2 linked regions of the Canis lupus familiaris genome follow. The protein of the gene in region 2 interacts with the protein of the main gene of each other region in a pairwise test. Links are inferred from orthologs where the notes say so. Each region holds a gene or a part of one and is shown on either strand. Other genes may lie near its edges.

Region 1 (7,544 bases), on a different chromosome or scaffold from region 2:
ATGAATGGATGGGTAAAATCTTAAAAGAGAGAGAGAGAGAGAGAGAGAGAATATGAGCAGGGGGAGGGGTAGAGGGAGAGGGAAAGAGAAAACCCCAAGCGGACTCCCCACTGAGCTTGGACCTCCACCTTGGGCTTAACAATGGCTGGATCTCAGGATCCTGAGATCATATCCTGAGCTGAAATCAAGAATCAGATGCTTAATTGACTGAGCCACCCAGTACAATTGACTGCGCCCTCCTGGGTTTTAATACCACAGAATAGTTTTGCCTGATTTTGAGCTTTATGTGAATGGAAACATAGGAGTTCTTTTGTATCAGGCTTTCTGGGTTCTATGTTTAAGAGATTCATTCATGTGTTGTAATTGTAACTAATTCATTCTTGCTGCTGAATGGTACTCCATTATGTAAACACACTATATTTATTCTACTGTTGGTGGACTTCTGGGAGTTTCCAGTTTGGGAAAATAGAAATAGAAACAGTGCTGCCATGAATGTTCCTGTACATGCTTTTAGTGAACACATGTATGCATTCTCACCAGATAAAAGTAGAATTGCTGTATACTTCTGTTCATAAGAGAATTCTGCTTGCTTCATTCTCATGTTATCTAAACTGTTGCTGAATACAGAAAAAGAAACTTTTTAAATATTTTTTTTCTAAATATTTTCTACAAGGATACTACTACCCTGATACAAAATTGAGAAAGGATAGGGAAAAAAAAGGAATATTATTGGTTAATGCCCTCTTTAATTAGGGATGTAAAGATACTACCGTCAGCAAACAGAATCCACAGATATGAAAAAAAAGGCAAGACCGGGACCAGAATGGGTTTATTCAGGAAGAGAAGCATCACTTAAAATTAGGAAATCTATTAATGTATTAAAATGTATGTTAACTTATCAATTTCAATTATAAATATAATTCATTAAATTCCTATTAACTTAATAATATTGTTAATATAGTTCATTACAAGAGAAATTTTATTAATAATTCCTTTAAAAGGTTAAAGGAGGGGATCCCTGGGTGGCGCAGCGGTTTGGCGCCTGCCTTTGGCCCAGGGCTTGATCCTGGAGACCCGGGATCGAATCCCACGTCGGGCTCCCGGTGCATGGAGCCTGCTTCTCCCTCTGCCTGTGTCTCTGCCTCTCTCTCTCTATCATAAATAAAAAAAAAAAATCAAAAGGTTAAAGGACAAAAACATATAAACGGCCTAAAAAGCTGTCCATAATATTAAATTCACGTTTCTAGTAAAAATTCTAGAAACAGAGAAATACAAAGGTCCCTGCATCTTCTCTTCATTCTACTTTTCAGGTTCATGGTCTGTAATTACACCATAGACAGACTAACCCCTGCCTAAAACAACGGATGAGTTTGAATTTTTCCTTCTCTATTTATTAGCTGTGCAGCCTTGGGCAAGTTGCTCAACCACTCTGTGATTTCCTCCGTACACAGTGCAAATAACTGTACCTATCATTAGTAGTCGGGATTAAGTCCCTTACACATGAACGGCTTCAGTGAGTCATTATTATCACTGCATTTTAATTACAAGAATTTGTCCATCAGCCATCCCTTGATTGGATCGTGAGCGCCTGGAGAGCAAACAGGGGCAGACTCCAGAACCTCGAGGAAGGCTTGTGGAGTCCTGACGGCAGCTCTCCCAGCGTCTGGCCTTTCCTCCTGCCCTGTCCACCTGTGTCACACGCCCGGCAACCACTCTTTAGAACTCCTTCTTTGCACCAATCTTGATGGTGCTCATTACGCCGTTCTGAGTACCAAATGCACACACAGTGTTTCCGTTTTTGCTTTACAACACTTGGGGCGTAATAACCCCTAAGTACAAGTTGATTGTTATAATCATGTCGCAGGTTTTGTGTAGTTTTGTGTTCAGTTCCTTTAGGGCACAGCGGTCTCGTACTGTTTCACTTCAGCGTCTGCAAAACACGACAGCCGAGGCTCGGTCCCAGGAGCCCGGGGCTAGCGGGGCCCGGCTGGGGGGAAGCGGGGGGCGACCCCGGGCGACCCCGCCCCGCCCCGCCCCGCCCCGAGGAAGGGGAGGACAGCCAACCAGGCGGCTTCCGCGCGGAAAGCCCCGCCTCCCGGGTTTTCACCCGTTATTCAAGTCCGAGCCAAGCTCCCGAGCAACAGATGCGCGCGCAGGGGTCCGAGGCCAGGTTGGGGGCGCCCGGGCCACACGACCCGCCGAGGCGGGCGCAGGCGGAACCTTCGTCCTCGGCTCCGTGTTTCCCGCGACTCCGCTCCTACCGCCACACTAGCACCCGGGGGCCACCGTCCCCGCCCCGAGGGCCTATTCCCGGAACGGTTTCCTGACTCTGAATAGTCATTTTGGTGCAACGACGAACAGACGTCCCAACGGCTGAGGAGAGTCTCTCCGAGCTGCAGCTCCGTAGCGTGGCCCCGCGAGTGCCCGGTAGCCGGACGTGGGCGCACCCCGCGCAGAGCCCGCCGCCGCCGCCGCCGCCGCCGCCGCCGCCGCCGCCGCCGCCGCCGCCGCCGCCGCCGCCGCGCCTCGCCCCGCGCGCGTGCTCGGACACGTGCTCGGACGTGTGCTCGGGCGCGCGCTCGGCGCGCGCGTGCTCGGACACGTGCTCGGACGTGTGCTCGGGGCGCGCGCTCGGGCGCGCGCGTGCTCGGACACGTGCTCAGGCGCGCGCGGGGCTCCGCCCGCCCCGCCCCCGCGCGCACGCGCACGTGGCCCCGCCCCCGCCCCCGCCCCGCCCCCCGCCCTCCCTTCCGGATCTCTCAGCTGCGCCGCCGGGAGACCCCCTCGCCGGTGAGGGGCCCCGGGTCGAGCCCGAGCGCGGTGCCGGCCGGAGGAAGCCGCGGGAGACCGGGTGGGCCGGGCGAGCCGCCGAGAGTAGCGGGGCCTGCCCTGCACGCCCGGAGAGAAGTGGGAGGCGGGCGGAGTTACGGGAGGCCGCGCGAGCGAGTGAGCGTGGGTCCGACTCGAGGTCGGGCTCGGGCCCGAGGCGGGTGGGCCAGGCCCCCCGAGCCGGCGTTGCGCGCGGCCTGGGACGCACGGCGCGGGCGCGGAGGCGCGGGGCGAGCGAGGACGCATGGCCTCGCCATTCCTGACCGCGGGGGCCACCACGGGCGACAGCGGCGGAGAGCTGAGCTCGGGGGACGACTCCGGCGATGTGGAACCCCGCCAGAGCCCCGAGACCGAGGCGTCCGGGAGCCTGGCAGAGCTCTTTGAGCAGGCTGCCGCGCACCTCCAGGGCCTGGTTCAGGTGGCCAGCCGGGAGCAGCTCTTGTACCTGTATGCCAGGTACAAGCAGGTAAGGTCCCGGGAAGGGGGTGGGTGCGGGAGAGCGGCAGGAGAGGCCTTCTCTGTCCCCCAGAATCTGATCGTACAGGTGCTTGGGTTGATGGCTAGGTGGGATGAAGTTTGCGTGTGTGTGGGGGCGCGTGTGTGTGGTCATCTCCTAAAGCATTAGCATCATTCTGAATGTGGATAGGGCCTGTCCGCTGTCCTGGGAGACAGAGGTGGTTGGACACCGAATGGCAGTTTCCCGTGTCTTCTCTGACTTGTACAGTGACCTTGCACTCGTGCTTTTACCAGCTTCAGAACCTTTGTAAAATGAGGATGATGAAATAAGGTTTGTCATTCACTCTTGCCAAAGGGTCATATGGAGGTAATTATGGAAGTAACATGGTCCTATGGAAGTAATGTTAAAAAAGAAATTGTGAGATCCAGGAGAATTATGTGATCGTAATAAAAGGGTGATGCAAAATAAACCATTACTAGTTTTATTATTGTGATTTTTAAAATCCTAGTTATATTAGACTTGTGTTTTGGCTTAATGGGCAGGAATTCTGACTGTTAGATACAATTATAAACATTTTAAAGCTAGTAAACGCCAGGTGAAACAATCCCCTTCCTTTGGGGGATAGGAAACGGAAGCCCGAAGAGAGTAGATAACCTGTCCAGGGTCTTAGGGACAGATGAGTGGGAACTGGAACTAGATTGTAGCTCCTGACTCTGACTAAGGCTCTGAGCTTTATCTGGGAATAATAATCCTAATGTCATGTAAGACATGTTTAATTTAGCATTCAAAGAGTCACAGGTACCAGAAGGAAAAATGATTGCTTTATCATAATCAACCAGTAGTTGTATAACATCTTTTATGTGCAAAACACTTGGGTGTTAGCCTACAGGGAGTGCAAAGAAGAAAAAGCATGGTGGTATTTTCCTTCAAGAGACTTGGAAAGTTACATGAGGAATCTAGATTTAAACACATGAAAATTGCTAAGAAGAGTTAGATAACATTTTAGGAAAACTCCAGTTCTTTGGAACACTGGAAGCAATGAGCACATTTTATTTCACTAAAAAAATTTAGGGATGCCTGGGTGGCCCAGAGGTTGAGCGTCTTGCCTTTGGCTCAGGGGGGATCAAGTCCCACATCGGGCTCCCTGCATGGAGCCTGCTTCTCCTTCTGCCTATGTCTCTTCCTCTCTCTCTGTGTCTTTCATGAATTAATAAATAAAATCTTAAAAAAAATTTTTTTTACCGTTGTTTTACTTCTTGATATCTATTCCCTTATGCATTCTTTTAAGAAAAAAAAAATAGTTTTAAGACCCCTCTGTAGGGGATCCCTGGGTGGCTCAGCGGTTTAGTACCTGCCTTTGGCCCAGGGCGTGATCCTGGAGTCCCGGGATCGAGTCCTGCATCGAGCTCCTTGCATGGAGCTTGCTTCTTCCTCTGCCTCCATCTCTGCCTCTCTCTCTCTCTGTGTGTGTGTGTGTGTGTGTGTTTCTCATGAATAAATAAAATCTTAAAAAAAAAAAAGACCCCTCTGTATTCTTCAACTGAATATACTGAATAGTGATGAACTATCTTTTGAGGACTGGTGAATTTGAATTATGAATACCAGTTAAAGTGACTTGAGAGACATAGCTGTAGATACATACGGTATAAATTACAGTGTTGAATGAAAATTGCCCTTGAATTGGCTTTGGAATTTCTTTCTTGCAGAAGTTCTGGATTATCTTTTTCTCTTTGGTTATTTACCTTGTCGCAATAACATCAAAATGAGACTTTCAGTTATTTAACAAGAGTTTATTGAACATTCTGCTAGGACCTTTAACATGTCTGACTGCTAATTCTTCGGGCAGCATAAAACTGTTTTTCTCCAAATTCCCTAGAGAACATTCTTTCTCTTTCTAGGACATAACTTTATTACTGATATTAGTGTCATCATTATTAGTATCTGATTTCTGGATTATCAGTGAACTATAGTCATCTGTTAACTGGTAACCATTCTGTCTCAAGTATACTCACTTAATCCTGGAAGTGGTGTGTCCCTCACCCTTTCAAGAACTCCATGTTAAGGTGTTTAGAGATATTCTGTATCTGGAAATAAAATTCTTCATTATTAGAAAATAGGATTATGCTTACTTAGATATGACATTGGGATGCAATTTTCATCCATTCTTCTACATTTTTTTTCTTTTTTTTTTTTGAGCGGGAGAAAGAATTGTAAGCAGGCTCCATGCCCAGTGCAGAGCCTGATGCAGGGCTCCATGCCATGACCCCAAGATCATGACCTCAGCTAAAAATCAGGAGTCAGATACTTAACTGACTGAGCACCCAGGTGCCCCTAAATATATTTTTTAAAGGTTTTATTTATTTATTCATGAGAGACACACAGAGAGAGGGTGAGACACCGGCAGAGGGAGAAGCAGGCCGCATGCAGGGAGCCCGACTTGGGACTCCATCCCAGGTCTCCAGGATCATGCCCAGGGCTGACGGTGGCACTAAACCACTGAGCCACCAGGGCTGCCCTAATTTTTTTTTTTTTTTAACAGAATTCTGAGATAGTGTTAAAAATCTTTGATTTTTTTGATTAGCATCTTTGATAAAATAATAAAATTGAAATGCCAATATAATTCTTGCATGGTGGATCAGAATCTCTCATGAAACAATTATGTTTTGTATTTGGAGTAGCACTGTATTTTGGAGGCCAAATGAAATAGTTGTCCCCAGGAGGATGATAAAAATAAGCTGAGCTGTGAGCCTTCTTTTCTTAGGCAGAGCTCCAAACTTACCTAACATAATAGCTCTTTTAGCCTCACATAAGCCTGTGGCTTCAAAATCATCTTTTAGTGAAGTTTCAAATAGATCACACCAATGAACAGTCTTTTGGTACTCCACATTATCCTACACTTTCCCATCAAAAGATCATTAATTGACTCCTGTGAAAACTCCAGGACAATGAAAATTACAAATCCCTGTTAGCTTCATTTTACAGGACCCTTCAGCACTAGCACAGTGAAGATTCTCAGCATGTTCTACTTTAACCTGCTCACACATAATTCACTGGCATTTGCCATTAGCCCCCTTTGTTAAAATATTCTGTTTTAAGGGCACTGGATATATCCTGTATGTATCAGAACATACTGTTCTGTTAAGGTGGCACATTTTGTAACTGCTTTATAGCTTATGATTCATTATTAATGATTTGGAAACTGTTTCTCATCATGTCCTAAAACCCTGTAGTTTTATTTATCCAGTCTTTTCTTTTTTTTTTTTAATTTATTTTTTATTGGTGTTCAATTTACTAACATACAGAATAACCCCCAGGGCCCGTCACCCATTCACTCCCACCCCCTGCCCTCCTTCTACCACCCCTAGTTCGTTTCCCAGAGTTAGCAGTCTTTACGTTCTGTCTCCCTTTCTGATATTTCCCACACATTTCTTCCCCCTTCCCTTATATTCCCTTTCACTATTATTTATATTCCCCAAATGAATGAGAACATATAATGTTTGTCCTTCTCCGACTGGCTTACTTCACTCAGCATGATACCCTCCAGTATCCAGTCTTTTCTGATCCAGAACAATTCTTTGAATTGGGGAATACAGAAGCTTCTGTTTCAGAATACAAGGTCAGCTGCTGAGCTTTTATTTTCATCACACATAATGGTCTGGAGGTAGGTGATCTAGTGCTGGTAGGGTGATTTTGCTTCATGAGATCACCCAGGGGCTTAGTCTTTTTCTGTCCTGTAGTTCAGCCATCCCCAAAGGCAGCAGTTCTCAAATTATGGTGTAGAGACCCTTGAGAATCCCTGAGACTTTCTCAGGAGATCTATAAGATCAGAACTATTTTCATGATAATACTAAAACAATATTTGCCTTTCTTCTGTGTGGTAAAACTGCTGATGCATCAGCATGAATCAAGGCTGGGCAGCAGACTGTACCAGTAGTCATATATTTTTACCACCATGTACTCAGTTAAAAAAAAAAAAGCCAATTTCACTTAAAAATGTCTTTGATAAAGCAGTAAAAACTATTGATTTTTATTAAATATTAACTCTTGAGTACAGGTCTTTTTAATATTGTGTGTTTTGAAATGGGGAGTACACACAAGGCAGTTCTGCACACTGCATTATGTTGGTTATTTTGAGGAAAAGCACTTGTGTAATTTTTGAGTTGCAAGCTGAGCTATCCACATTTTACGTGAAACATCATTTTTCCTTAATAGCACAACTCACAGATAAACTATGTTTATTTAAATTTGAGTATTTGGC
Region 2 (6,801 bases):
CACTTCTCTGTAGTTCTGACCCTCCTTATTGCTTCCACCATCACCATCAGCTTGTACCCCTCTCTGCACCCCCAGTGATTTTTGAGCCCTTCCCTTACTTCTGGGTACTTACAAGAAACTAGAGCCAGCCAAGGCAGGAGGAACTGCTAGCGTTCTATGGTAGAGAAATTTTCTTTTTTAATTACAGTAAATCAGAATTGTTTTAATGTAGGCCTTTCTCTGGTGCATTATTTATTTATTCATTTATTTATTTGAGAGAGGGAGAGAGATAGAGCATGAAAATCGCAAAGGGGAGGAGGCAGAGGGAGAAGCAGGCTATCCACTGAGCAGGGAGCCCAATACAGGACTCGATCCCAGGACCCCAGGATCGTGACCTGAGCCAAAGGCAGACGCTTAACCGACTGAGCCTCCCTGGCGCCCCTCCACTGCATTTTTTAAAACTGGAGCTTCTTTCCCTTCCCTAGATGCTAGCTCTAGATAACACTGTAGATCACAGTGGTTTGTGTTTAGAAGACACTCTGTTCTGCACTCAACTACCGGAGTCCAATAATACTTGTCTGGATTTTTTAGACTTCTTAGTGGTGGAGGACTTGGACATTTTCCAAGATATTAAATATAAAAGTTAATAAAGGGTAAAGAGTACAATTGGAGTTTAGTATTCCACTGAGGGAAAGAGGTGTGCCTGACGTAGGGATTCAGTGGCGGGAAGCTAACATGGGGTTGATCCGCTTCTCACCTTCCCTAACATTAATTCATTTCTCCCCAGGCGGTGCTGCTGTGGAAGGTGAATGGATAGGTTTGAGAACGTATCGTAGCTGAATTTTCCTTTGCTGCTTTGTCACCATGGATTTGAAAACTGTGCTTACTTGTATCCACTTCAAGAAAGCACTTAAAATAGTGAGCGTTCAGATACAAATCTATCATGAATGGTCATTTTATGTCAAGACTGCTCGTCAGTCTGGTGAGGCTAATTAGGTGGAGTTGAAACCACTCTGAAACCACTCATGGAGTTGGGATATCCTTTGGAACAAAGTTGGCTCCTTTGGAACAAGGATGCCGATTCATGCTAGTCGCAGAATAGCTTGAGTTTAGTATATTTGTGATCAAGAATTTAACTCCAGCATTAGGAAGGAAAACATGCTGTTTGTCCCATAACAAATTCAGTGCAAGCATTGTAGGTTCAGATTTGTCTTTTTAAAGATAAATGGGTGCATGTTCAAGTGTTACTAACTGAAATACACTATATTCAGAGTTCCTGTTTACGTTGTAGGTCTTCTAATGCATTGCCTTGTTAAGGGTTCAGATGGATATAAATTTTATTTTGCTGGTATTCAGTAACTCTTATGTTGGAGGTTCAGAGGAGACCAGAGCAAGAGAAATCTAAAAATACAATAAATGGGAACAGTGAAAGTATTTTGTTATGTCAATATATGTAGCTGAAACCATACCTCTATGACTTAGACCTCTATGGAAATATAAGAGAAATGTCTTAGAAAATTATGACCCTCCTGGGTGATGCTGTTAGACTCATAAATGGAGACAGTAAGACAATGAACACATCTCTGATTAGACTCCAGCATTTTGTATCCTTGAATCATTTTAGTGGCAAGGATCCTAAGCAAACCCAACGATAGAGCAAACACAGGGCGGTCTGTATGAAATAAGCCCTGTTTTGTACTGTGTCAAATGGGTAAAGTTTCCCAAGTTAAAGGATAGACTCCAGACCACAGACATCAGATTCAAGGTTGAACAGAAGTCCAGAACTACTGTCAATAAACCGGCAGGGTCGGTGATACCTTTCCTTGATAGCTGTGGGATGTTGACATACAGGAAAACCGGGGGGCTCTGAAGTTCTTGTTAACCACCTCTGAACTTCAGTGGAGGGCATTCTTTGCATGGCATCAAAATACTAAAATAATAATTTCGTGTACTGAAAAAACTCTGTGATTTTCCAATCCGGCCCTGAGTGCTACTCTCTCAGTTCAAGTATGGTAGTCCCACTTTCCATTTGAGGGACTTTTCCAAAAAAAAAAAAAAAAAGAAAGAAAGAAAAAGAAAAAAAGAGCTGAAGAATCTGCAGAGATAAGAGGGATATTGGCTTGGAGGAAGGAACTTGAGAATCGAAAGGTATCATCAGTTTTCCAGACTGAGAATATGTTTTACTTAAAAAAGTTAATTTCCAACACTCAGGGTAGGGAAAACAGGCTGTGGTTGCCAAAAAATCTAAACTCAACGGAAGAAACTGCTTGTTCTAGTTGGAAGATTTGTCTCTGGAGAAGCATCTGGGCTGGAAGAGGCAGGGTGTGGTCCAGGAGGAAGGCATACTTAGAGATTTTCTTTCTTGATTAACTTCCTTCCCAGCTCAGCTCAGCACTCATTCACATTTCTTTCTTTTTTCCTTTCCTTTCCTTTTCTTTCTTTTCTTTTCTTTCTTCTTTTTAATGAACTAAAATTTCCTTCGTCTGCCTTATTTCCATTCTAGCTCGTTCTTTCCTCTGTCCTCACATTGCTACTACAGGGCATTAACCTCAACAGTGAAACCAAGGGTGTGCCTGACTGGCTGCCACCTGGTAGTAATGCATGCATGCATGTCAGTCCTCGGCTAGTGCGGGAGAGGACCCTCTGCAAATGGGTGGGACCCTGCAGCCCCGGGTGGTTGGCTTTGCTTCAGATTGCTCAAAACCTATATCAAAGCCTCATTAAAACCACTGAGTTGTTGTTACCTTTAACATACTGTGTTTGCTTCTGTTTTACTATGTTAGCATTCTTGAGTCCGAGGTCCTGACCAGGCTAGAGGAAGATTGTTGGTGTTTCAGTGTTGTAGTCTCCAAGGTGGATGCACGTGTATCTGCCCCAGGTTTGGGAGTGGTGGCAGCTTCCTCATTTTCGTGTCTGTGTGTCTTTGCTGTTGTAGAATCCCACCATTCCAATGCAGAAGTTGCAGGATATCCAGAGAGCAATGGAGCTGTTGTCCGCATGCCAGGGCCCTGCCAGGAACATTGATGAGGCTGCCAAACACAGATACCAGTTTTGGGACACACAGCCGGTACCCAAATTAAGTAAGCTTTTCTGCCTCCCTCCTCCTCCAAAAAAAACAGCTGGGTTAGCAACAAACAAACAAAAAACACAAAAGAAACTTAACTTACATAATTTGTTTTATACCGCAGATTAGCAATGTACACAAAAGTCCTGTTTTTCTTCTTAAAATATAAATATTGGAAAAAAATATATAAATATTGGGTAGTGACATTGGCTTTCGGTAGAAACAACTTTAGAGTTTCATTCCTCTTTCTATTAAAAAAATCCAGTTTCTCCCTCTTGAAACATTATTGTATTAAAAATATATATAAAAGACAGAGTCTCAGAACCTTTCTTGGTCCTGAGCTTCATAGAATTGTTTTTCCTGTGCATAAATTTATAGCAGTCTCACATCTGATTTATTTCAAAGATACAGGAAATTTGCCCTGCTAAATCTTATTGAAATGGAAAATTTTGGCGCAGCTTAACAATAGGATTCTGCAGGCTCACTGCTGGTGTTAATTCCTAGCAGCTCGAGAACAGCTGCGGTTCAGTAGGGACCTTGGGGGCCCCTTGGGAGCACCCTGGGGGCTCCTCTGTGCAGGGATGTCTGGGCATCAGGCCTCTCCCCTCTCCCCTTCGCACTTGGCCTGGTCCCTCACGTTCCACTCAGACTCTTGCCTCATAAGTTTCCGTAAGCATCATTTAACTCTTCCCTTGTTGCAATAAAAAATGATGCCGTAAATGCACTAAAATGTTTATAACTGTATTAAAAGCTAAAATCTGCTGCTTTCTGTTATCCTCATATGAAGATATATGATAATTATTTCTCTGTCTGGCTGTTCTTCCTCCTTGATTGTTTGGGTTCCAGAACGTGTAAGATGAAGGATTGTCATCCAGACCTTGTAATAATAGTCCAGCCATGTACAAATTATCAGTTTTATCACATAAAAATCAGGAAACGATCCTTGTCTGTGCCCTCAAATGATGGTTTTCAAACTTTTCAAAGTTACCAGGCCTCACCCAGCCATGTCCACCCCACGCATCTTCAAAAAACACGGGCTTAGGAGTGTGAAAGATAGAGGAAAACACTTATCCTCACTTGTCTCTTCTTTCAGGCTCTAGAAATACGTGTGTTCGGTAGTGGAGGGAGACTCCAGCATGAATTTACAGGGTTTAAAATGCTGTTGAATTGAGTGAGCTAAAGGGATGTAGGGTTGATTGATCCGATGTATTAGGTTTAGCTGCACATGCTTGGCAAGCTGCTGGTGGCTTTTAGGTCACTGCCCCTGGGGCAGGAAAGCCCGGCTGGCACCAACACATGTCTTTGGGAAGATAGGGGGCATGCGTCACATTTTGGCGCCCCCTCCCTAAATCCCTGTGGGATTCCCCTAGTTCCAGGGGGAACACCTGGTTTGCATCTCAGTTAAGGCAGCATCAAGGTTGGTGGCAGCAGAGGCAGCCCCCCACCCCCACCCCACCCCCACTGTTGTCCCCAATGTCCGGTGGGTAGCCAGGCTCTGAGGGGATCTCCTGAAAGGAACTCCAAGGGAACAGCTAAGAATCTGGCTCACCAGCGAGCTGGTGGAGGGGCAGTGAACTTCTGCTTCAGGGGAAGTGACAAAGTCAGGGGGAAGAAAGAAAGAGAAAACGAAACCCCTCGGAGCTGTTGCAGACCTTGTGGCTTCCACCAAGAACCTGTACCTGAAGGTCATTTATTCAGCAGATACCTGTTCCTTTTTTCCTCCTGGTTCTGTTTATTTATCCTTTGGGGTGTCATTGTCGTTTAGCAACATATTAGCTTCAGGGGTCAAACAGAATGATACCACATTTGTGTACATTGTCAAATGACCCCCACGGGAGGTCTACTAACCATCCCTCACCACACCTAGTTACAGATTTTTTTTTCTTGTAATAAGGACTTTTAAGATCTCCTGTCTTAGCAGCTTTCAAATATGCAATGCAGTATTATTAACTATAATCATCATGCTGTGTTTGCATCCCCTGAACTTACTTGCTTTATAACTGAAAGTTTCTGCCTTTTGACCCTCTTCACTCATTTCACGCTCCCACCCCTGCCCCCTGCCAACTGCCAGTCTGTTCTCTGTGTCTAGGAATTCAGAATTTTTGTTTTTTTAGATTCCACATGTAAGTGAACTCATACAGTATTTATCTTTCTCTCTCTGACTTATTTCACTTCCTGTACTGTCTTCAAGGTCCATCCATGTGGTCACCAATGGCAAGACTTCATTCTTTTTTATGGCTGAGTAATAGCAGATCAGTGTTGAGTATCTGTTGTTAAATGCCAGGCTCTGGGGAGTGTGCCAGGGGAACAGCGATGGGAAAGTAGGAAAGTAGGATGAAGACAGTGGCCAGGCGGGGATGGAGGGAGGGCCTCCTCCAGGTAGGAAAAAGCTTAAGTCAGGGAAGGATACTGTGGGAAAGTGATGTGTAAGCTTCTGTCTGCAAACCCTCAAGCGGCCCACCACATGGAGAGCGGGGGAGGGGCTCTGAGAGAAGAGGGAACCCCCAGATGCCATGAGCTGGGGCCAGTGAGAATGAACCTGGAGAACAAGGCCAGGCAGGGCCTGGGTTCTATCCCAGTCACACTGGGAGGCAGTGGGGAAGGATCTGGAAAGGGCACCCTCGTGAAAACCACGAGATGCTGATGTTTTCAGCTGGACTGCCAGCAGCCCCTGTGGAGAGAAGTTCTAGGTTTTGCGGGGTGGGGTCAGAGGTCACCTTGTCACCCCCTACCCCCAGGTGTTTGAAATGCAGAGTAAGAAGAGAGCCCATCTCCAGGCGGTCATCAGACCCACACTGTCCACTGTGGTGCAGCGCCATGGATCTGTCACTTAGGGGTTGAGGCTGTCCCTGGCATGTCGTAGTACACACCCTGTCATTGCAGGAGGAAGGATTTCTCCCTCTAATTGGTGAGATGGCAGCTCCTCTCCACTACCCGTCTCACTCCAGAAGGAGCTGAAACAGTGGTGAAACCCCAGGGCCCTAGAAATGATGTCGTTCTCTGTAACGGACCACTTTGGCCATCGTAATACACTATAGTTGGATGTTCGTTCTTTCTCTCCTCTGCCCCTCCGCAGATGAAGTCATCACGTCCCACGGGGCGATTGAAGCCGATAAAGACCACGTGCGCCAGGAGCCCTATTCCCTGCCCCAGGGTTTTATGTGGGACACCCTAGACTTGGGCAACGCCGACGTGGTGAGTAACGCTCCTTGGTTCGACACCTGCCATCGCACAAATTGCTTCCGAGTGGGTGGCGAGCACTGTAGACAGGACACTTGCTTGGTCTTGTAGCTCAAGGAGTTGTACACGCTGTTAAATGAGAATTACGTGGAAGACGAGGAGAGCGTGTTCCGGTTTGACTACTCACCCGAGTTCCTGCTGTGGTGAGTCTGGCTGGACGCCGGGGGGGGGGGGGGGGGGGGGGGGGGGGGGGCGGGGGGGGGCGGGGCAGGGGGCGCCCCGGGTGCGGGCAGTGGCAGGGTGGCGTGCCTTGGGCTCTCCCTGGGTTCCTGGACACTAACCTGCACCTGTCTTCCTTGCCTGCGTTGACCTCAGGGCGCTGCGTCCCCCAGGCTGGCTCCTTCAGTGGCACTGTGGGGTCAGAGTGTCTTCGAACAAGAAGCTAGTAGGGTTCATAAGTGCCATCCCCGCCAACATTCGGATTTATGACAGGTGCCTGTTAAAGCTTGTCCGTGTCAGTTTCGTTGTGTTGCTTTTCCAAGAATTGCAGTTACAGTGGGCTTTTAAAAGCGACTTAC

What was found. The genes of interacting proteins can lie anywhere in the genome.
Region 1: the proteins of NMT2 (region 2) and ACBD6 interact in binary tests that used the Homo sapiens proteins (3 or more experiments, as listed by UniProt). The link is inferred for Canis lupus familiaris from reciprocal best matches to the Homo sapiens genes NMT2 and ACBD6.

Annotation. Positions count from the first base shown.
Region 1 is NC_049228.1:13,908,123-13,915,666, reverse strand, and holds the start of ACBD6 (acyl-CoA-binding domain-containing protein 6), read left to right. Parts: upstream 1-2,748; 5' UTR 2,749-3,073; coding exon 3,074-3,295; intron 3,296-7,544. UniProt on the Homo sapiens protein: Binds long-chain acyl-coenzyme A molecules with a strong preference for unsaturated C18:1-CoA, lower affinity for unsaturated C20:4-CoA, and very weak affinity for saturated C16:0-CoA. Does not bind fatty acids. Plays a role in protein N-myristoylation.
Region 2 is NC_049223.1:20,545,373-20,552,173, forward strand, and holds part of NMT2 (glycylpeptide N-tetradecanoyltransferase 2), read left to right. Parts: intron 1-766; exon of another isoform or gene 767-843; coding exon of another isoform or gene 844-897; intron 898-2,914; coding exon 2,915-3,059; intron 3,060-6,119; coding exon 6,120-6,238; intron 6,239-6,334; coding exon 6,335-6,426; intron 6,427-6,598; coding exon 6,599-6,715; intron 6,716-6,801.